Oryctolagus cuniculus: one gene and its partner. The protein of the gene in region 2 interacts with the protein of the main gene of each other region in a biochemical or structural test. Links are inferred from orthologs where the notes say so. Each region holds a gene or a part of one and is shown on either strand. Other genes may lie near its edges.

Evidence for each region.
Region 1: the proteins of NCL (region 2) and ADAP1 form a complex in vitro, tested with the Homo sapiens proteins (2 studies listed by BioGRID). The link is inferred for Oryctolagus cuniculus from reciprocal best matches to the Homo sapiens genes NCL and ADAP1.

The regions. Positions count from the first base shown.
Region 1 is NC_091450.1:36,353,650-36,363,548, forward strand, and holds the end of ADAP1 (arf-GAP with dual PH domain-containing protein 1), read right to left. Parts: intron 7,929-9,899; exon of another isoform or gene 7,597-7,928; intron 7,401-7,596; exon of another isoform or gene 7,327-7,400; coding exon 7,214-7,326; intron 6,932-7,213; coding exon 6,785-6,931; intron 5,649-6,784; coding exon 5,565-5,648; intron 5,472-5,564; coding exon 5,409-5,471; intron 5,159-5,408; coding exon 5,087-5,158; intron 4,992-5,086; coding exon 4,763-4,991; intron 4,580-4,762; coding exon 4,551-4,579; 3' UTR 3,401-4,550; downstream 1-3,400. Other genes in the region: GET4 (Golgi to ER traffic protein 4 homolog), read left to right, coding at 178-316, 2,214-2,354, 2,444-2,519, 2,649-2,721, 2,975-3,063. UniProt on the Homo sapiens protein: GTPase-activating protein for the ADP ribosylation factor family. Binds phosphatidylinositol 3,4,5-trisphosphate (PtdInsP3) and inositol 1,3,4,5-tetrakisphosphate (InsP4). Regulates the incorporation of CD63 and CD9 into multivesicular bodies.
Region 2 is NC_091434.1:7,813,775-7,823,773, reverse strand, and holds the start of NCL (nucleolin), read right to left. Parts: upstream 5,320-9,999; 5' UTR 5,109-5,319; coding exon 5,091-5,108; intron 4,172-5,090; coding exon 4,055-4,171; intron 3,062-4,054; coding exon 2,557-3,061; intron 2,359-2,556; coding exon 2,146-2,358; intron 2,056-2,145; coding exon 1,969-2,055; intron 1,927-1,968; exon of another isoform or gene 1,858-1,926; intron 1,785-1,857; coding exon 1,643-1,784; intron 841-1,642; coding exon 716-840; intron 1-715. UniProt on the Homo sapiens protein: Nucleolin is the major nucleolar protein of growing eukaryotic cells. It is found associated with intranucleolar chromatin and pre-ribosomal particles. It induces chromatin decondensation by binding to histone H1.

The sequences.
Region 1 (9,899 bases), on a different chromosome or scaffold from region 2:
TGTCCTGCCTGGCCGGGTGTGGGCAGCCCGTCCCCTTGTGCCGGCCCTGAGGCCCGGCGTCTACGTGAAGGGGCCGTCTGGGTGTCCAGGGCTCCGTGGGGGTGTGCGTGGTGTAGCCCCCACGAGCGGGCGCGGGGCGGCGAGGGCCTGGGCAGAGACCTCGCTGTCGCCCTGCAGAGCAGAACTACTGCGAGTCGCGGTACCACTTCCTGCACTCGACGGACGGCGAGGGCTGCGCGCACATGCTGGTCGAGTACTCCACCTCCAGGGGCTTCCGCAGCGAGGCCGACATGTTCGTGGCCCAGGCCGTGCTGCAGTAGGTGCTGGGGGCAGGGCGGGAGCTGAGCGCGGCCGTGCCTCCCTGCTCGGGCCTGGCTCGCACCGAGCCCCCGTGGCGGGGTAGCGTGGGCGGCACAGGCCCCCGTGGCGGGGTAGCGTGGGCGGCACAGGCCCCTGTGACAGGGTAGTGTGGACGGCACAGGCCCGTGGTGACAGGGTAGCGTGGGCGGCACAGGCCCCCGTGACGGGGGTAGCGTGGGCGGCACAGGCCCCTGTGACGGGGGTAGTGCGGGCGGCACAGGCCCCTGTGACGGGGGTAGTGTGGACGGCACAGGCCCGTGGTGACAGGGTAGTGTGGACGGCACAGGCCCCCGTGGCGGGGTAGCGTGGGCGGCACAGGCCTGCGGTGATGGGGTAGCGCGGGCGGCACAGGCCCCCATGATGGGTTTGTTTAAAATCTGAGAGGCACCAGTCTTGGCGCCGTGGCACGCGGCGTGGCCACGTTCTCTGCCCCAAGCTCAGGGCACTGCCCGGGGAGCCCTGGGTTGCGCCTGCCATGCCCCATGGAGAGAAGCCAGGGTCCGCTCCCCGCCCAGCCGTGCCGCAGCAGGTGTGCGCCGGCGTGCAGCCATGACTGCACGGGGGGAGGGGGTCTGCTGTGAGCCCCGCCCAGAGCAGGGGCAGTGTGTGGGGGGGTCTGCTGTGAGCCCCAGCCCAGAGCAGGGGCAGTGCAGGGAGGCGGGGTCTGCTGTGAGCCCCCAGCCCAGAGCAGGGGCAGTGCAGGGAGGCGGGGTCTGCTGTGAGCCCCCAGCCCAGAGCAGGGGCAGTGCAGGGAGGCGGGGTCTGCTGTGAGCCCCCAGCCCAGAGCAGGGGCAGTGTGTGTGGGGGGGTCTGCTGTGAGCCCCGCCCAGAGCAGGGGCAGTGTGTGGGGGGGTCTGCTGTGAGCCCCGCCCAGAGCAGGGGCAGTGCAGGGAGGCGGGGTCTGCTGTGAGCCCCAGCCCAGAGCAGGGGCAGTGCAGGGAGGCGGGGTCTGCTGTGAGCCCCGCCCAGAGCAGGGGCAGTGGGGGGGGTCTGCTGTGAGCCCCGCCCAGAGCAGGGGCAGTGCGGGGAGGCGGGGTCTGCTGTGAGCCCCCAGCCCAGAGCAGGGGCAGTGCGGGGAGGCGGGGTCTGCTGTGAGCCCCGCCCAGAGCAGGGGCAGTGGGGGGGGGTCTGCTGTGAGCCCCGCCCAGAGCAGGGGCAGTGCAGGGAGGCGGGGTCTGCTGTGAGCCCCGCCCAGAGCAGGGGCAGTGGGGGGAGGCGGGGTCTGCTGTGAGCCCCCAGCCCAGAGCAGGGGCAGTGCGGGGAGGCGGGGTCTGCTGTGAGCCCCGCCCAGAGCAGGGGCAGTGGGGGGGGTCTGCTGTGAGCCCCGCCCAGAGCAGGGGCAGTGCGGGGAGGCGGGGTCTGCTGTGAGCCCCCAGCCCAGAGCAGGGGCAGTGCGGGGAGGCGGGGTCTGCTGTGAGCCCCGCCCAGAGCAGGGGCAGTGGGGGGGGGTCTGCTGTGAGCCCCGCCCAGAGCAGGGGCAGTGCAGGGAGGCGGGGTCTGCTGTGAGCCCCCAGCCCAGAGCAGGGGCAGTGCGGGGAGGCGGGGTCTGCTGTGAGCCCCGCCCAGAGCAGGGGCAGTGGGGGGGGGTCTGCTGTGAGCCCCGCCCAGAGCAGGGGCAGTGCAGGGAGGCGGGGTCTGCTGTGAGCCCCGCCCAGAGCAGGGGCAGTGGGGGGGGGGTCTGCTGTGAGCCCCGCCCAGAGCAGGGGCAGTGCGGGGAGGCGGGGTCTGTGAGCGGAGGGGTCCCCGCCCAGAGCAGGGGCAGTGCGGGGAGGCGGGGCCTGTGAGCGGAGGGGGGAGGCGGGGCCTGTGAGCGGAGGGGGGGAGGCGGGGCTGTGAGCGGAGGGTCCCCGCAGGTTCCTGTGTCTGAAGAACAAGAGCAGCGCGCTGGTGGTGTTCACGACGTACACGCAGAAGCACCCGTCCATCGAGGGCGGGCCCCCCTTCGTGCAGCCCCTGCTCAACTTCATCTGGTTCCTGCTGCTGGCTGTGGACGGGTGAGCCCGCGGGGGCGGGCCGGGCGGGCGGGGCGGGGCGGGGCTGCGGTCACGGCGGCGCTGGCGTCACGCGGGGCCCTGTCTTTCAGCGGGAAGCTGACGGTGTTCACGGTGCTGTGTGAGCAGTACCAGCCGTCCCTGCGCAGGGACCCCATGTACAACGAGGTGAGGGCCGGCGCCTGGGGGCGGCCTGCTCGGGCCCGCAGCGCCTCGACCGTGTGTCCCGGGCTGGGGGTGGGGGTGGGGGTGGGCGCCCCGGCCGGCACCCCGTGCCTCACGGCCCCCTCCCCGCAGTACCTCGACCGCATAGGCCAGCTCTTCTTCGGGGTGCCGCCCAAGCAGACGTCGTCCTACGGAGGCCTGCTCGGTAAGCCCCCCCCCCCCCCCGTGGCTCCAGGGTGCCCCACGCCGCGGCCGCCCAGGCGCTCCCCGCTGGCCTTTACATTCTGTGTCGCGATCGGGAATCGCGGTTCTCGTGTTCGCCAGGGCCCCGCCTCCCGCGGCCGGGTGGACTTGAGGCCGCTGCGGGCAGGGGCTCCTTCCCGGGGCGAGGCCCTGGCCCTGAGTGGGAGCCTCCGCCCATGGGGCGGCCCTGCTCACGCGCCCGCCGTGCCCTGCAGGGGACCTGCTGAGCAGCCTCATGGGCGCCTCGGAGCAGGAGGACGGCGAGGAGAGCCCCTGCGGCGGCAGCCCCATCGAGCTGGACTGAGCGCGGCCGCCGACGCGGGCACGGGTCGGACGGGCGCCCGCGACGGGGCTCCTCGCGCCGGCGGGCCCTCGGGCCGAGGCTGGCGGCGCCACGCCGGGCGTCTGTATGTGTGTGAGGCGGCCAGGCGGCTCGGGGCCCGTGTCCCCTGCGCTCCCCCAATAAAGCACAGGCCTCGCCGTGGCGCCGCTCTCCCGCTGCCTTGTTTGCCGGCCCGTGGGGAGGGCGCGCGTGTGGGCAGGCGGCCTGCACTCACCGCGCCCGTCCCCGGGCCAGGGCTGCGGCCCCTCCGGCTGTCCCCGCGCCGTCCCGCCACCGCGCAGAGGCCAGCAGGCACCGAGAGGTGTGGACACTTTATTTCTTCACAATTGAAAGGGGGTTGTGGAGGACACGCGGCGGCCGCGTGCGCCGTGCGGGGCGTCGGGGAGCTCTGTCAGCACGCGTGTAAATAAATCCTTTCTACCGGCTCGCAGCGTGGTCCTCTGAGCGCGCGCGCCCGGCCCCGGCGGCCAGGGTCCTCTGAGCGCGCGCGCCCGCCCTGGCGGCCAGGGTCCTCTGAGCGCGTGCGCCCGGCCCCGGCGGCCAGGGTCCTGGGGTGGGGGAGCGAGGGCCCGGGGCCACCCATGGCTGCGGCCGCACAGAGCCGGCCCTTCCTGCCCCCACACCTCGGGACGCCGCGAGACCTCCGACACGCGTGATGTCCTGGGTCCAGACCGGGGTTCCCCACCAGCACAGCCACATCCTGGGCTTCGTATCACGCTTGTCCACGTCCTCCCACGCACTGCCCCCACGCGGGGCTGCCCGTGTGTGCACTCGACACACCTGGGGCCCAGTCTGGCCTGGGCGGTAGTGGACGTGGCACGAGGGGCGGGGCGGGGGCGCAGCTCCCCCCCAGTCGTGCCAGGCAGGGCTGAGAGGGGTCCACCCCGGTCACCTGCAGGGGTGCTCTGTGCAGCTGGGGCACAGGGCGCGCACACCGCGGCCCCCACCGTTGGCCCACCAGCAGCAAGCAGGGAGGGGTGAGCTGGGTGCGGGGCCAGCAGTGAGGGTGGGCGGGCGGGCGGGCACCGGCCATCATCAGCACCAAGTGTCTGGCACGCAGGCCACTGGGTCCCCACAGGCGAGGGCTGGGCAACCCGTCTGCCAAGCCAGGGGCCCGGGGGGTGGGGGCCTCCAGCCAGCAGAGGGTCCCCAGGACCGGGGCTGGGTCAGTGTGGGGACCAGGGCCAACGGCCCAGGCTCCAGGACCACAGCAGGTGCACAATAAATACTTGAGGGGGGGGCGGGGCAGGGGAGGGGCAGAGTCCCAGTGCCAGGCCCACGGGGCCCTGCTCCAAGCCAGGGGTCGCCTGGGCAGTCTGCTCGTGATGCGGCCCAGACCCTACCTGGCCGGGCTCCCTGCGTCCACAGCCCCTCCCTGGTCCAGCCTCCAGCTCCTCAGCCACGTCAGCCACGTGAGTCTGTGGTCCCCAGGTGGGCGGTGCTGCGCGCTAGGGCTTATGCTTGAAGTGGGCTTCCACTAGAAACAGAACGGGCATTGGCCTGGTCCCAGCCACACGGGCAGGGGTGCCCCGCGGGCCTGGCCACACCCCCACCCCACGGACCCCACAGGCCTGGCCACGCCCCCACCCCACGGACCCCACAGGCCTGGCCACGCCCCCACCCCACGGACCCCGCAGGCCTGGCCACGCCCCCGCCTCACCTGCATACTCCTGGGGCAGCATGGGCCTGTCCACCACCTTCTGGAAGGCCTGCACCCACTCCCGCTGGTCCGCCTCCGTCTCACAGGTGAACAGGAACTTGCGGTCGGGCGTGACGATGGTGATGCCATGCGGCCAGTGGTGGCCCTGGGTGGCCGGCGGGAGCCCCCCCAGCACCGTGTAGCCGCTCTCCTTGCTGCCGATGAAGACCTCCCCACGGGCGAAGGCGTCCTGTGGGCGGAGCCAGAGGACAGGGCTGGGCTCGAGCCTGCTTCCCGCCCCCACCCACCTGCCAGGCGCCCCCCCCCCCCGGCCCAGCCCCTCACCAGGGGGTCTTTGAAGTACATGAGCCGGCGGTCGTCCATGGTGAACCAGCGTTTCCGGAAGCCCTCGGTTTGCTGCGGGTCAGGGGCGGTCATGAGGGGGCGGCGCGGCCCAGCCCAGCCCTGCCCTACACACCCTCGGCCCTGCACACCCCCAGCTCGGCCCTGCCCTGCCCTGCCCTGCCCTGTGCACCCCCGGCACTGCATACCCCGGCCCGGCCCTGCCCTGTGCACCCCCAGCCTGGCCCTGCCCTAGCCCAGCCCTGCCCGGCCCTGCCCTGTGCACCCCCGGCAGGGGCTCCCGGGGCCGCCGGCCTGCACCCACCTTGGGCCCCGTCTTCTCCATGTAGCCTTCCTTCAGGTAGTTCCTGGAGAGCTTCGGCACCAGCTAGGACATGAGGGCGGTGAGGGCGGGGCCGGGCCACCCCCCCCCCCGCGCGCCCCCCCCGCCCCGGCCCGCCACACGCCCCCGCCCACTCACGTCTGCGTCGCTGGCCCCGGGGAAGGCCACCTGCAGGTAGTGGAAGCGGGCGGCCCGCAGCGCATTGAACCAGTCCACAATCTCCTAGGGGCCGAGAGCAGGCGCACGGTGGGCTCGGGCGAACGAGGGGGCCGCGGGTGGGGCCCGGGCAGGGGCGCACATGGCCAGGACGTGCCCACCGGGCTGAGGCCAGGAGGCCGCCTGGTTCTCGGGGGCCAGGCCACATGGAGCGAGGCTGTGGCCCAGGGCTGCCCGGGCCCCTCTGGACCCCACCTCTCATCTCCCAGGGCCACACCACGGACCATGACACCCAGCCAGCACTAGGTGGTCCCAACCTGAGGGCCCGGCCAGCCCACCTCTCCTCATCGGCCTCGGCCGCAGGCCCTAGGCGGCCGCCTGCCACACCACCCACCCAGGGGAGAGCAGGTGCCCACCGCCTCCTCCGGACCCTCCAGCCACAGGAAGTCCCCTCCCACCCCTGGCTGCAGGTTGGCTCGGCACTGGGCCACCCAGATGGAGGAGGGAGACCGCACGGCCCGGAGCACCAGGTCCTCCCGGAGTGGGCCTGGGACGGGTGACGGCAGCGTCGCACCGAGGCCGTCTCTGGGCCCTGGCCAGGCCCAGCTCCCCCACACCGGGAGCCAGCTGAGCAGAGACAAGGAAGCTTGGGGGACCCTGAGCCTCGAGAGCTCGCAGAAGCCACGCCGCCGACGGGCACGAGCCCGGGGGACGTCCCCGAGAGCAGAGCGGGAGAGAGGGGAGCCACGGGCCGTGGCCTCTGCCCGAGGAGGGGCTCCCAGGAAGGCCAGGGCGGCGAGGGGCAGGGCTGGGTGCCGCTGTCCAGGGACAGCCTCGGCCGCTCCCGGCGCCCACCCTCCCGCCCGCGGCCTCGGCCCCTCCCGGTGCCCGCCCTCCCGCCCGCGGCCTCGGCTGCTCCCGCCCGGGGCCTCGGCCCCTCCCGGTGCCCGCCCTCCCGCCCGCGGCCTCGGCTGCTCCCGCCCAGGGCCTCGGCCGCTCCCGGCGCCCACCCTCCCGCCCGCGGCCTCGGCCCCTCCCGGTGTCCGCCCTCCCGCCCGCGGCCTCGGCTGCTCCCGCCCAGGGCCTCGGCCGCTCCCGGCGCCCACCCTCCCGCCCGCGGCCTCGGCCCCTCCCGGTGTCCGCCCTCCCGCCCGCGGCCTCGGCTGCTCCCGCCCGGGGCCTCGGCCCCTCCCGGCGCCCACCTTGCCGTCGTCGTGGTACAGGAAGATGTTGCGGGTGCTGTTGTCCTTCAGGTAGGTGAGCTGCAGGCCGTGCGGGTGGCCGATCTTGGCCGGTTGGAAGGTGGCGTTCAGGTGCTCGATCTTCATGACGGCCTTGGGCTCCTTGGCCTGGGGGGGAGGGCAAGGCTGAGGCCGGCGGGGTGGGCACAAGGGGCTGGCGCTCCTCACCGACACCCCCCGGGGTCCCCAGGGCCCCCGATGCGCACTGGCTCGGGGGTCCTGGCTGGCTCTGCTGAGGGGGTGTGGCCACGAGGCCCCCGTGGGCTCTGCACGGCCATAAGGCCGAGGGCAGGCACCCAGGCCGCCACTGCCCGCCCACGATCCGTGGCCCCCAACCCCGTGGGGCGGCCCGACCTTCACACAAGACCCATGCGTGTGTCCCCTGCTCACGTCATTCTTGTTGAAGTACTTCAGGGCCCCCTCCCGCTCCGTCAGCACAAACTTCCGGCTCAGGAACTGCCCGTTGTCCCGGCCGCGTTTCCACAGGAAGCCCTCGCGGTACCCTGGAGGGGCGCACAGACCGAGAGACGCGCTGTGGCCCACGGCAAAGTCCCGCCCACACCCAGGTCCGACCACCGTGAGTGACAGCACCTGGGCGGGATCTCACCCATTGCCCGCCCCTTCCTGACGGAGGCCCCGCCCATGGCCCTGAAGGTCCTAGCTCCCAGACAGGAGCCCCCAGCCCTGTGCAGACGCCTCCAGGACCACTGCCCCATTGCCACTGGGTGGGTGCAGGGCAGGGCCAGGGCCGCACTGACACCCTGCCTCCCCAGGCCCAGGCCGCAGCCACCCACAGCCAGGGCTCCCTCGGGTGGCCTCCGATTACGGCGCACGGTTCGCCGCCTGTGCCAAGGCGTCATCTCCAGCTGGGGGTCCCGAGCCCCTGTGCGCGGTGCCAGTCCCGGCTGCCGCTGCTCCCTGCTGGGGCCCGGGGAGCAGAAGACGACAGCCCGAGTCCCTGGGCCCTGCACCCGCGTGGGGGACCTGGAGGGAGCTCCTGGCTCCTGGCTTCAGCCAGGCCCAGCTCTGGCCGTTGTGGCCATTTGGGGGTGAACCAGCGGATGGAAGCCTAATTCTCTCAAGTAAATAAACCTTTAAAAAGAAGGAGGAGCTGTGTGGCCACCGGAACCAGAGACAGCAAAGGGGCCGCCCGGAGCCTGGGGGGCCATCCCTGCCCCACCCAGCTCAGCCCGGGAACCCAGAGGGGGACGAGGCCAGGGATGAGGCAGGGGACCAGGTGGGGACCCAGCGGGCGAGCAGGCAGGGGGGTCAGGCGGGGGACAAGGCCAGGGGAGCAGGCACGGGGTGAGGTGGGGGACAAGGCCAGGGGACCAGGTAGGGGATGAGGTGGGGACCAGGCGGCCTCTGCCCCACTGATGCAGGACCCGTGCGTCTTCACCCACGGGAGGGGCCGGCTCGGCCCCGTGCCCCTACAGGGCACCCTCTCCCCAGCAGGCAAGCCCTCTGCCGCGTGGGGACCAGGGCCACCATGTCCCCAGCCTAGCAGGGCTCTCCTAGGAGCCCTGTTCTGACCGACGCGCACCGGCCCGGCTCTGCCCGGAAGTCCGTCCACAGGGCTCCTCCCGGCGCCGGGGCCAGCCTTCTGGAGCAAAGCGGGTGACCGGGAGACAGGCTCAGAGGCAAAACAGCAGCCCCAGCTGAGGACCCCAGGGGCTTCTCCACCCAGGCCCACCGCCATGCCCACCGTGCCCAGCAGGTGGCAGCAGCGCCCTGGGAAGCCAGAGCCGGCTTGGGCACAGCGGCCAGGGCTGCGACCGCCTCCGCCGAGGGCCCAGTGGCCAGGCACCCACGCTGGCACCGAGCTCTCGGCCGGGCCCTCACCAGTCCCCAGCCCACGCGAGCCTCACGTCCTTCCTGAGAAAGGAGCGTGGCCGCCCTGGGCTCACCCCACGGCCCCTCGGCATTCCCTGCCCTTGGCCCCAGCGGCCTTGCCACACCCACCACAGCCCTGCCCTCCTGAGGACCAGCCAGCTCCTCCCCAGCGCCACCTGCTGGGCGGCCGAGGGTCAGCCCATGCCAAGGCCCCGCCGGTGGCCTCTGCACACAGCGTCCCTGAGCGGGAACACTTGGTGGACGGCGCTTCCCACGCACCGGGCGTGGGCTGGGGAGTGGCGGGGACCGAGAGAGGCTGTGCACCTGCCCTCCCCCCGCCGCAAACGGGACTCCACCTGGGGGCCCCAGGGACGGCCAGGCAGCCGCGCTGTGGCACAGGGGATGCAGACGGGCCACACAACGTGCACACAGTGACGCAGGCCGCACAGGTGCAACGCGGACGGGCCACAGGCATGCGCATGGTGACGCAGACGGGCCACACACGTGCACACGGCGACACGGACGGGCCACACTCATGCGCACGGCGACACGGACGGGCCACACACGTGCACACGGCGACACGGACGGGCCACACTCATGCGCACGGCAACACGGACCGCACGAGGCAAAGATGCAGGGCAGAAAGCAGGCAGGGCTGCAGGGGCCGGCTGCTCCTGGTGCGATGGACCCTCCCTACATCTTACCGCCCGGGGCTGGGGATGCAAACCCACCCATGTGTGTGGCGACTCCCAATGCCAGCCGAGGCGGCTGTGGGGGCCTGTAGCCCCCGGCGGAGGAGGGACATCCCCATGGAGGCCCCGCCCTGTGGGGGTCCACTCCTCGCTGGGCTCGGCACAGGCCACCTGGAGCCTGAGCTGCCGACACGGCCCCGGGCAGCACGCGCACTGCGACCTCACCGTGAGGCGGCAGGCCTGGTTCCGGGGCGGCCTCTCCCTGGAGCCGACCCCAGCCACACGGGGGCCTGAGCCAGTGCAGGCTCCCGGGAGAGGCCGCTGTGCCGAGCACCAGCCCTGGCGAGCCCGGAGCCGGTCACCAGCTGGGCCCCGGCTGTCAGCTCTGTCCACTCCGCTCTGCTTCCTGTCACTTGCCGAACCCTCTGGGCACAGCCCGGGCACAGGGCCATCCAAGGGACGCGGCCCTCCCCGGTGGTCCTGCTAGGGCTCCAGACACCGAGGTGGGGGTAGGCGGGGCTCTCCGTGGCAGCTGCAGGCCACAGCCCGGG
Region 2 (9,999 bases):
GTCTCCCACATTGCATACTGTCAAATGGGCATCTAGAACAGAGAAATCGATCTATAGAAGGTGGTCAGTACCTTTGAGCAACAGAAAACAATCTAAGCATATAAAAAATAGAGCTGAAAGATGCAAGTGGAGGCAAGCTCGTGTCCATTATTTCAGGTTGAGCACTGAGCATCTCTAATAATAAAAACACACCCAACTTTCTGAGCCCCCAATACACACCTCGAGTGGGAAGTTCCACAGCTCATCGTGTCAGGACTGCACTGGGCACTTGGTCTAGCACTGAGACAGCTGCACCCCTTCTGGAGTACCTGGGTATCCCCAGTTCCTTGATACAGACCCTGCATGACAGTCGGCAGGGTCCCTACCACCCAGGTACAAGGCCTGGATTGTGGTTGTGGCTCCAGCCAGGCCTCAGCACTCGTGAACCTCTGAGGAATAACCCAGTAAATGGAATCTAGTCTCTCCCTCCTTTAGAAGTTAAAACGCAGGTAGACTAAAAATGTCAAATTACCTTCAGGCTGTGTGTAAAACGTGTTTAAGATAGGGTCTCATCCCCAAGCTATTTGTTTATATATGGAAAATATCCCAAAATCTTCAAAGAAAAACCTGAAGCATGGAGACTCTTTTGGTCCCAAGCATTTTGGATGAGAATGGCAACTTGCAACCCTTCTACCTTGGACACGCTGGTGCCGTCATCTGTGAAAGCCACACATACCCTTCTTGCTGTCTTTTCCTTTCGGTTTCTCCAGTTTAATTTCATTGCCAAAGACTTTCAAACCAGTCAATTCCAAGGCTTTTTCTAGGTCCTCAGCAGATTCAAAATCCACATAGCCAAACTTCCTTTAAGATGAAAGAGGGACATTTCTCAGAGGAAAAGGCACAGACCGTATTCTGAGCAGCAACGGCACTACTGCAATTAAGTAAAATAAACAAGACAAAAACCACCACCTTGCCTCCACAAATGGCTGAGGAGCAGACTGAAGTTCCAAGACATGATTTTCAAGTTCAGTTAACTCTGGATGGGCCAGTCACAACTCAGACTTGCTGACACACCCATTTAAGAATCAAGACAGTAGCAGCAAAAACACTGATAACCACTCAGACTACACAGCTGACAGAAGTAGGACTGGCATGGCATCTTAATTCTCTTATAATGCAGGCAAACACACCTGAGTGCCAGTTCGATCCCCGAGTTCAGGCTGGTCTTCTGATCCAGCTCTCTGCTATGAGCTGGGAGAACACTAGATTTCCCAAGTGCTTGGGCCCCTGCATCCATGTGGGAGACTTGGAAGAAGCTCCTGATTAGCCCAGTTCTAGCTGCTGCAGTCATTTGGGGAATGATCCAGCAGATGGAAGACCTTTCTGTCTGTAACTACCTCTCAAATAAATTAAATCTTCTAAAAGGGATTTCTAAGAACTCAACACCAAATTACCCAAATGTTATGAATTAGTCTGTCCGATAACATTAGGGTTGATTAGGGATTTCGGGGTTCTAGATTCTAAAAATCCAATGACTTCATTCAACATTGTCAAATTACTGAACACGTTCACACATCTATGTTTAAGGAAACCACACAGGTGAAGGCAGCTAGAGGAGCTATTAACAGACCCATGGATGTCAACAGGAAGGGAAAGCACCTACCTGGTTGTGCCAATTCTGACATCCACAACAGCAAGATCGTTTTTAGCAAAAACATCACTGATACCAGTTTTTAATTCAGGAGCAGATTTGCTAGAATTCAGGTTTCCAACAAACAGATTGAAAGATGTGGTTGGTTCTGTGGCTGTACAAAAAAATTACTTATCAGTCTCTAAAATATGGTAAAAAATCAGCTTCCAGTACAAAATGCCCACACAGCACATCAGTGTATCACATGTACCATCAGGCTTCAGCATTAAGTCCCCTTGTCGTTCATCACTTGTGCTATCAGAAGTCACCCCACCCAACACCCCAGTTCTCCCAGGTACCTTCCACTTTCTGCTTCTTGGCTTCTGGAGCTGACTTCTGTTTGGTCATTTCCTTCTTCCGTTTTCCAGGTGCTTCTTTGACAGGCTCTGGACAAGGTTAACAGTGTCACCTGTGAGCAGTCACACGCAAGGCTGCTTCACAAGTTCACAGAGAAACAGGCTCATTGTAGAGATTACCTTCCTCCTCTTCTTCCTCCTCCTCCTCTTCATCCTCCTCGTCCTCGTCTTCCTCCTCCTCTTCATCGTCATCTTCCTCATCCTCATCCTCTTCGTCGTCGTCGTCGTCCTCCTCCTCCTCCTCAGCCACGCTCTTCGCCTTTACGGGGGCAGCTTTCGCCGGCGCTTTCTTCCCTTTGGCTGGTGTGGTCACCATGGCTTCTTCTTCAGAGTCTGAAAGGAGCCGTCTAGTCAGTCTGGAAGGATCTCCCACACCAACTCTGGCTCTGGGATGCTCTGGAGGAAAGAACGCCCTACCCCCACACTCAAGGCCACAGGAAGAGCCCAGAGGACCCCAGGAAGGACTCTAATCCAACCCCACGTGGCTACGTGGAAACCTCCCAGAGCCAGGAGCCACCATGACTTCCTTACCGTCTTCCTCGTCCTCCTCGTCGTCGTCCTCGTCCTCATCGTCGTCTTCATCCTCGTCCTCCTCGTCCTCATCCTCGGAGGCGGGGGCCACCGCTGCTGCCTTCATGACCGCCGGCTCAAACTCATCCTCCTCGTCCTCCTCGTCATCTTCATCCTCGTCGTCGTCGTCCTCCTCGCTGTCCTCCTCCTCCTCCTCGTCGTCGCTGTCTTCCTTCTTGGCGTTCTTACCATTCTTGGCCCCCTTGGCGGGGAGGACCGCTCCCTTCTTTCCCGAGGCCGCTACCACTGCTTTGCCCAGCGCGGCCCCCTTCTTGCCCGACGCCACCACCGCTTTGGCTGGGGTAGCGGCCTTCTTCGCTGGCGTGGTGGCGGCTCCCTTTTTACCTGGAGTGACAACTGCTTTCTTGGCAGGAGTGGCAGCCGCAGGCTTTTTTGTCGGGGAAGCCACCGCCTTCTTGGCTGGAGCCGCAGCAGCTTTCTTGCCTTTCTTCTGTGGGATGACTATCTAAACAGCAAACACCAACAGTTAGTTCTGCTACATCCGAAAGGCAGCCCTGGTCCCAGTGGTGGATTCTGGCACTGCCTCTGGTTCAAGACTGCATATGTTCCATGTTAACATGTTAGGTTCAACAGTAAGTAAAGTGCTGTGGCGTAGCACATAAAACTGCTGCCGGCAGCCCATATGGGAGCCAATTCAAGCCCCAGCTGCTCTACTTCCATCCTGCTCTCCGCTGTGGCCTGGAAAGCAGAAGATGGCCCAGGCGCTTGGGCCCCTGCACCCACGTGAAGACCCAGAAGATCCTGGCTTCGGATAGGTCCAGCTCTGGACGTTGCAGCCACTTGGGGAGTGAACCAGTGGATGGGAGAACTCTGCCTCTCTATAACTCTCTTTGCAAATAAATAAATCTGAATATTAAAAATCATCTGGGGATCATACAGTGGGTAGTGGTACAGGATTCTTGTCCTGAGACAGGACCTGAGATAAAAATCAGCCTTAAATTGGCTGAGCAACCCTTACAAATTACAGCACATCAAATAAACACTGTATCTGTAAGAACCATTATTTACCTACATTTTAACTCCTATTCAAAGCTATTTTCATTAACTTCCTAGTTTATCAGATAGTTCACTTAAGAGTAAAGTCTTTGCTGAATTCTAAAAAACCGACTTTCCATGCAAGCAATGAACGTGAATGCTCAGGTGGCACCTTCAACCCACCCAATCGCTACAAACCTTACATACAGGGGGGGGACAGAATCCACCTGGTCCTTTATGCTGAGCAGGAGAAGTGTATCAACCTCACTCCAGCCGTGCAGAGGGCACAGATCCCAGATGCTCACACTCAGGTACTCACCCAACGGTCTCCTGCCATCTAAGCACCCCCCACCCCGGGTCACGTGAATAACACACTACTTTTCATATCCTTTTCAGACACCCAACACCATTCTGTCCACTGTGTAAGTGCAACCCAATTTCTCCTCGATCGCGACCCAGTTACCTCTTCTCCACTGCTGTCATCCTCGTCATCTTCCGACATCTCCTCGTCTTCACTATCTTCTTCTACCTCCTTGGGAGGAGGAGCCATTTTCTTGGGCTCACCTTGGTTTTTACCAGCCTAAAACGCACACAATGAGGACATGAACACCCCTCATCGATTCCACGGCCCACAATAAAATACAACCATCACCCTCCTCAACGCACTTTCAGCATTAAACATAACCGATCCTGAAACTGACCAACAGTACGGCCCATCAGAGTTTCCCTGTCAATCTTGACAAAACCTAAAAAACAAGTCCAAGGTGATGAAATAACCCATCTGCCTTTTTTTACCCTCAACCACTTAATTCACCCCTGGGTTCAACCCTAGCACCAGGCACCCTTCTTAGTAGCCAGCGGCCACTCTTCCAGGGAGGACCCCCCCCAGCCTCCGACGCACACCACCAGCGCCCTCGTCGGAACTCCGGGCAGCACCAGCGTCGCAAAAGCATAAAAGTAACAAAGCCACCTCGGACCCCAACCGGCCTGCCCCTCTCACCTGGCCGCGGCCACGTGGGGGTGCCCGGCGGCCACCATGTGCACGCACCCCGGCGCCTCCTTCCGGGGCCGGCGCACGTGGCGGCGGCCGGGGGGCCCCGGGCAGCTGGGCCAGGGCCGCGGGTTCGCGCCGGCGGGCCCCGGCCACCCCGCGGCCCACGCGGCGGGGCCCACGTGGCGGGCCGCGAGCCGGCGCACGTGCGGCCGGAGGCGGGGCCCGGCCCGCGCGCGGCGCACGAGTTGGATCTCACTTCCTCCCGCCGCCCCGCGCCCCGCGCCGCAGCCTTCCACGCCGCCCTCAGCACCTGCCGGAGCGCGCCGCACCTCGCCGCCAAGCAGCCAAGACACGCGAGAACTGCCCGCCAGTCGCGCGAGACTTCCCACAGCATGGCGCCCTCGAACGCGCCCGGGACGGCGCGCAGGCCCTCCTCCCCGCGACGCCGCGCGCGCTCCTGAGCAGCAGGCCTCGGCGCTCGCGCTCGCGCGCCCTCAGCGCTTACCTTGGCCAGCTTCACCATGATGGCGGCTTACGACGGCGGCGGCTGTGGCGCAGACGAGCCTAGAGGAACCCGAGCGGCGTCGATGGCGGCCGCGGGTGACTGAAGATGCCGGAGCACGTACGCCGGGCTGCCAGCGAGAGCTAGAGACTGAGGCGAAAGACTGAGCCTGCCCAGTAATCGCCTCTGGAAAGGCGACGACGGCGCCCTCGTGACTCCTCCTCTACCAATCAGAGCTCGCGTCCGTCGCGCGAGCCAATCGCAAGCCGCTAACTGTGCGCGGCGTGGGGCGGGGATTGGGCCGGAGTGGGCGGGCCCAGGCGGCCAAGGAGGGGAAGGGGGTCTGGCGGCCGCGTCCTGGAGGCGGGATTTGCTTTGTGCAAGGCCGGCGCTGATTGGCCCGGGGGTGCGCGGGTCGCAGAGTGTTCCTCCGCGGCCGGTCGTCCCGGCGCATGCGTCATGCGACGGGCTCTTTTGGCGCGGGGCGAGCGAGCGAGTGGCGCGGCGAACTGAGCGAACGCGGGGCGGTGGTCTCGGTTTCCAGAAAGTAGCCGGGTCCGGTAGACGTGTGCGCGGGAGGGCGCCGGTGCGCGCTCCTCGCTGAGCCTGCTTGCGGCTCTGGAGCGAGGGGTCGCGGCGGTTTCCTGCGGGTCAGCCCGAGGGCGCCGGAAGTTGAGGTTCGGCCAAGTTCCGAGTGGCCCTTTCGGGGGCCCGCCGGCCAGCCAGGGGCCCCAGACTCCCTGGCCGCTGGAGCGCCCTCCGGCCCACGTGCCTCCCGAGGGCTGCGGGTAGAGTTGTGAGCCGTGCACAAGCGCTCGGTTAGTCCCCCGTAACCACGCGGCAGGTGTTTGTCCCCGCGGTCCAGCAGCTTGGAGGTCGCGCCCGCGAGGGGCTTGGTCATGGTGGGGTGGGCAGCGGGACCTGGGCCGCCCGCCGCGCTTCCTCTGCCGTCAGTGTGGCGGCTGGGCGGGCAGCGGCACACGTGGCCCAGCAGTGGACCCGGCGCCCCGGGCGGGGGCTCGGAAGGTGGGCTTGGCGTTGTGTGCTCCTGCGGCGGCTCAGATGGGCGCCAGGCTTAGCGAACCAACCGGAGCCGGCCTCGGATGCCCCCCAGGCTTCTGGTAACCAGCTGCCCCAGCAGAACCTTTGATAAAAGTCGCCTCTGAAGGTTCAAAGTTGAGGAGGTCTGGGGGGGCCCGGGGTCGCTCTGTTTCTGTTGGAGAGGCAGAGTGGCAGACCTGCCCAGATGCCCAAAACAGCCAGGGCTGGGCCGGATCGAAGCCAGGGGCTCCATGCAGGCCTCCCCGGGAGCTGAGGGCCAGGGACCCCGGGACTCCAGCGTCCCTTGCTGTCTCCCATGTGGTCGGAAGTGGAGGTGGTGCCACATCCTAGGCACTCGGTCCGGCCCACGCGGCAGCTCAGCCTGCGGCGCCCCAGCTGCCCACCTGGGATTTTGCACTAAAGGCCTAGGAGCATTCTTCGGGGCGGCCGAGTTATTTTAGTTCTTGCTAGCACACCTGCGGCGATAGGAAGCCCAGGCCACTCACTGGGGCGCTCAGACCAGTTGAGAGGTCTGCCCCCTTTATCTGATGCTCTGAGGGGGTCGTGCTTCGAAGCGCAGGGAATGGGGGCCGGGGGATCCCATCTGGGTGACAGGGGTGGGGTGGAGAGGGAACGGCATGAGCCGAGACATGGTGGGATAGGACCCTGTGGATTTCCAAGCAGAGCGGGCTTCAGGCACTCGTGGAAAGAGGCTGGAGAGATGTCTGGTGGGCATGACCAGGGGACCGGGTGGATTTTAAGAAGCAGGTGTGTAGCCAGCTGGGTGGGTTTCCTGTGTCCGACATCAGAGGAGCGAGCTAGTCCCAGCCTCTGGCTCTGGCCGCGAGACCCTGGGTTCCTGCACATGGGGAAGACCTGGATTGAGTGCCCGGCTTTGACCCAGCCCAACGCCAGCTGTTATGTGCGTTTGGAGCGTCACCCAGTGAATGGGAGCTCATTGCGCTGCCTGTCTGCCTCTCAAATAAATAAATAAAAATGTGTTGGCCTGGCTGGCTCCTTGTCACCTCCTTAGGGCCCTTCGCACCCTAAGTGGAAAGTGCCTCTGAACCCCCTAGTTGAGTCCCGGGCGGGTACTTGTCACTGCCTGGTATTTTTCCGGGCTGCTCACGGCTCTGTCGCCACCTTCCCAGGCATGGGGACACAGATCTGGTTCTGTGCTGTATTCCTGGTGCCTAAGCATTGCTTTGCACACGCTGTACTTGTGGAATGAACCAAGTGTTCAAGCAGAAACAGCAGAGAGCCAACGTCACGCAGTGTTCACGTGGAGTCAGCGAAACAGCACTCACGGGAGGAGACTTGAAAAGGGGTGGGGGCGGGCCTCGTGTGCAGCATGTTAAGCCACTGTGGGCGACGCCTGCATCCCGTGTCAGCGTGCCTGCTCAGGGCTTGGCTACTCCATTTCTGATCCAGTTCCCTGGGAAGACAACGGGAAGTGACCCGAGTACTTGGCCCCCACACCCAGCATGGGAAACCCCGAGGGAGTGCTGAGCTCCCAGCTTCAGCCTGGCCCAGCCCTGGCTGTGCGGCCATTTCAGGAGCAAACCAGCAGCTCTCTCTGTTGCCCTGCCTGTCAAATCCTTAAAAATGTGGAAAATGGTAATGCTTGTTAAGTGTAGGCAGTGTTCCAGCTGTTTATTTATTCATTTATTATTCAAAATCACCTTACAATATTCCTTTTTTTTTTTAAAGATTTATTTATTTATTTGAAAGGCAGAGTTAGAGGCAAAGGCAGAGAGAGAGGTGTTCCATCTGCTGATTCACTCCTCCAGTGGCCGCATCGGCTGGAGCTGGGCTGATCCGAAGCCAGGAGCCTGGAGTTGCTTCTGGGCCTCCCATGTGGGTGCAGGGGCCCAAGCACTTCGGCCATCTGCTGCTGCTTTCCCACACACATTAGCAGGGAGCTGGATCAGAAGTGGAGCAGCCGGGACTGGAACTGGCACCCATGTGAGATGCCAGTACGGCAGGCGGCGTCCTTACACACTGTACCGCACCGCCAGCCCCACCTTACAGTATTCTTAACAGTTTATAGGAACTGGCAGAGGAGGGGTGAATCAGGACCTCAGAGCTGGGAAGTGGAGGAGGTGGGGTTCAGGTTGAGGCCTGGTTCTGTTAGCCTGGCTTATTCAGCTGTCGAATGAGGATTACAACAGTATCTGCCTTTGGGTTTATGAGTAGTAAGTGAGGAACTACTTTTTTTGGACTGCACATAATAAGCCTAAGAGGAAGGGTTAATATTCTTTAAAAAAGGCGGGGGGGGGGCAGGCTGGTGCTATGGAGTAGAGGGTAAAAGCTGCTGCCTGTAGTGCCAGCATCCCATATGGGCACCAGTTCAAGTCCCAGCTGCTCTACTTCCCATCCAGCTCTCTGCTATGGCCTGGGAAAGCAGGAAGATGGCCCAGGTCCTTGGGCCCCTGCACCCACGTGGGAGACCCAGAAGAAGCTCCTGGCTCCCGGCTCCTGGCTTTGGATTGGCTCAGCTTCAGCTGTTGGCAGCCGTTTAGGGAGTGAACCAGCAGGTGGAAGACCTTGCTTTCTGCCTCTACCTCTCTCTAACTCTGCCTTTCAAATAAATAAATCTTTAAAAAATGCTTATTTTCATCTACATGAAAAGCAGAGCACCCGAGATGGCTCCTCTATCCTCTGGTTCACTCTCAAAATGCCCATGACGGCTAGGGCTGGGCCGGGCCACAGGCAGGAGCCTGGAACAGCATCTGAGTCTCCCACAGGGGTGGCAGGGGCCTGGGACAGCATCTGAGTCTCCCACAGGGTGGCAGGGGCCTGGGACAGCATCTGAGTCTCCCACAGGGTGGCAGGGGCCTGGGGCAGCATCTGAGTCTCCCACAGGGGTGGCAGGGGCCGAGTGCTTGAGCTGTGATCTAGCTCCCAGGCGCTTATTAGCAGGAGGCTGGAGTGGAAGCAGAGGAGCCAGGACTTGAACCCGTACTCCGATACACAGTGCAGGCAACCCACTCCACTGCACCCCTAAACACCCCAAAACTACATACTTTGTAGGATTTATTTGTTTGTTTGAAAAACCAACAGAGACAAATATGTTTATCTACTATTAACTTCCCAACCGCTAGGGCTGGGCCAGGTGGCAGCCGGGAACTCCATTGCAGTCTCCCAAGTGGGTGGCAGAAACCCAAGTACTTGGTGCTGTCATATCATCTGTCCGCCCGCTCCCCTCCGCACATTAGCAGGGAGCCTGATCAGAAGCAGAAGAGCCGGGACTCAAACCAGGCCCTCAGATAGGCGCTTCACCCACTGCACGGCGACACTGGCCCCCACGAAGGATCTTACCGGCAGGTGGGGAAGGAATGAGCAGAGGGAGAGTTGGAAGGGCAGCAGAGAAGTCGCAGGCAATCAAGTGACGAAAGGGTCTTGAGTGAAGGGCCACCTCCTCCTGACCTGAGCATGAAGGCCGCAGTGGGCATCGTGTACCCATCTGTGTAGTGGACAGGATGGAGGCTCTGGGGGCAGGGCGGGCAGGCCGCTCCGTCTCTGCCTTCCGCTTACCCAGGTCAGGCATAGTAGATGCTCAGTGAGGCGGTCCAGCCTGCTGAAAAGATAAGCTGTCTTCAAGAAAGAAAGGAAGGCTGGATAGTCTAATAAGCAGTCTACAATGTGAAAGGATGGAGTTTAAAGGTGATTAGGAAGCAGATAAGCAAGTTACCTATAGCAAGAAAGAGGAAGAACCCATTACTGCTTTGAACAAGGTAATGCCCTGGGGGGTGAGGAGGCGCACTAGCAAGGTCCAGAGGCCTTGGTTGGATGGGAATTGTGAAATCAGACCCTGTCTGGTCTGTAGTGGGTGCGCTCACACGGGCCTTGGTCTATTGAATGGAGGCAG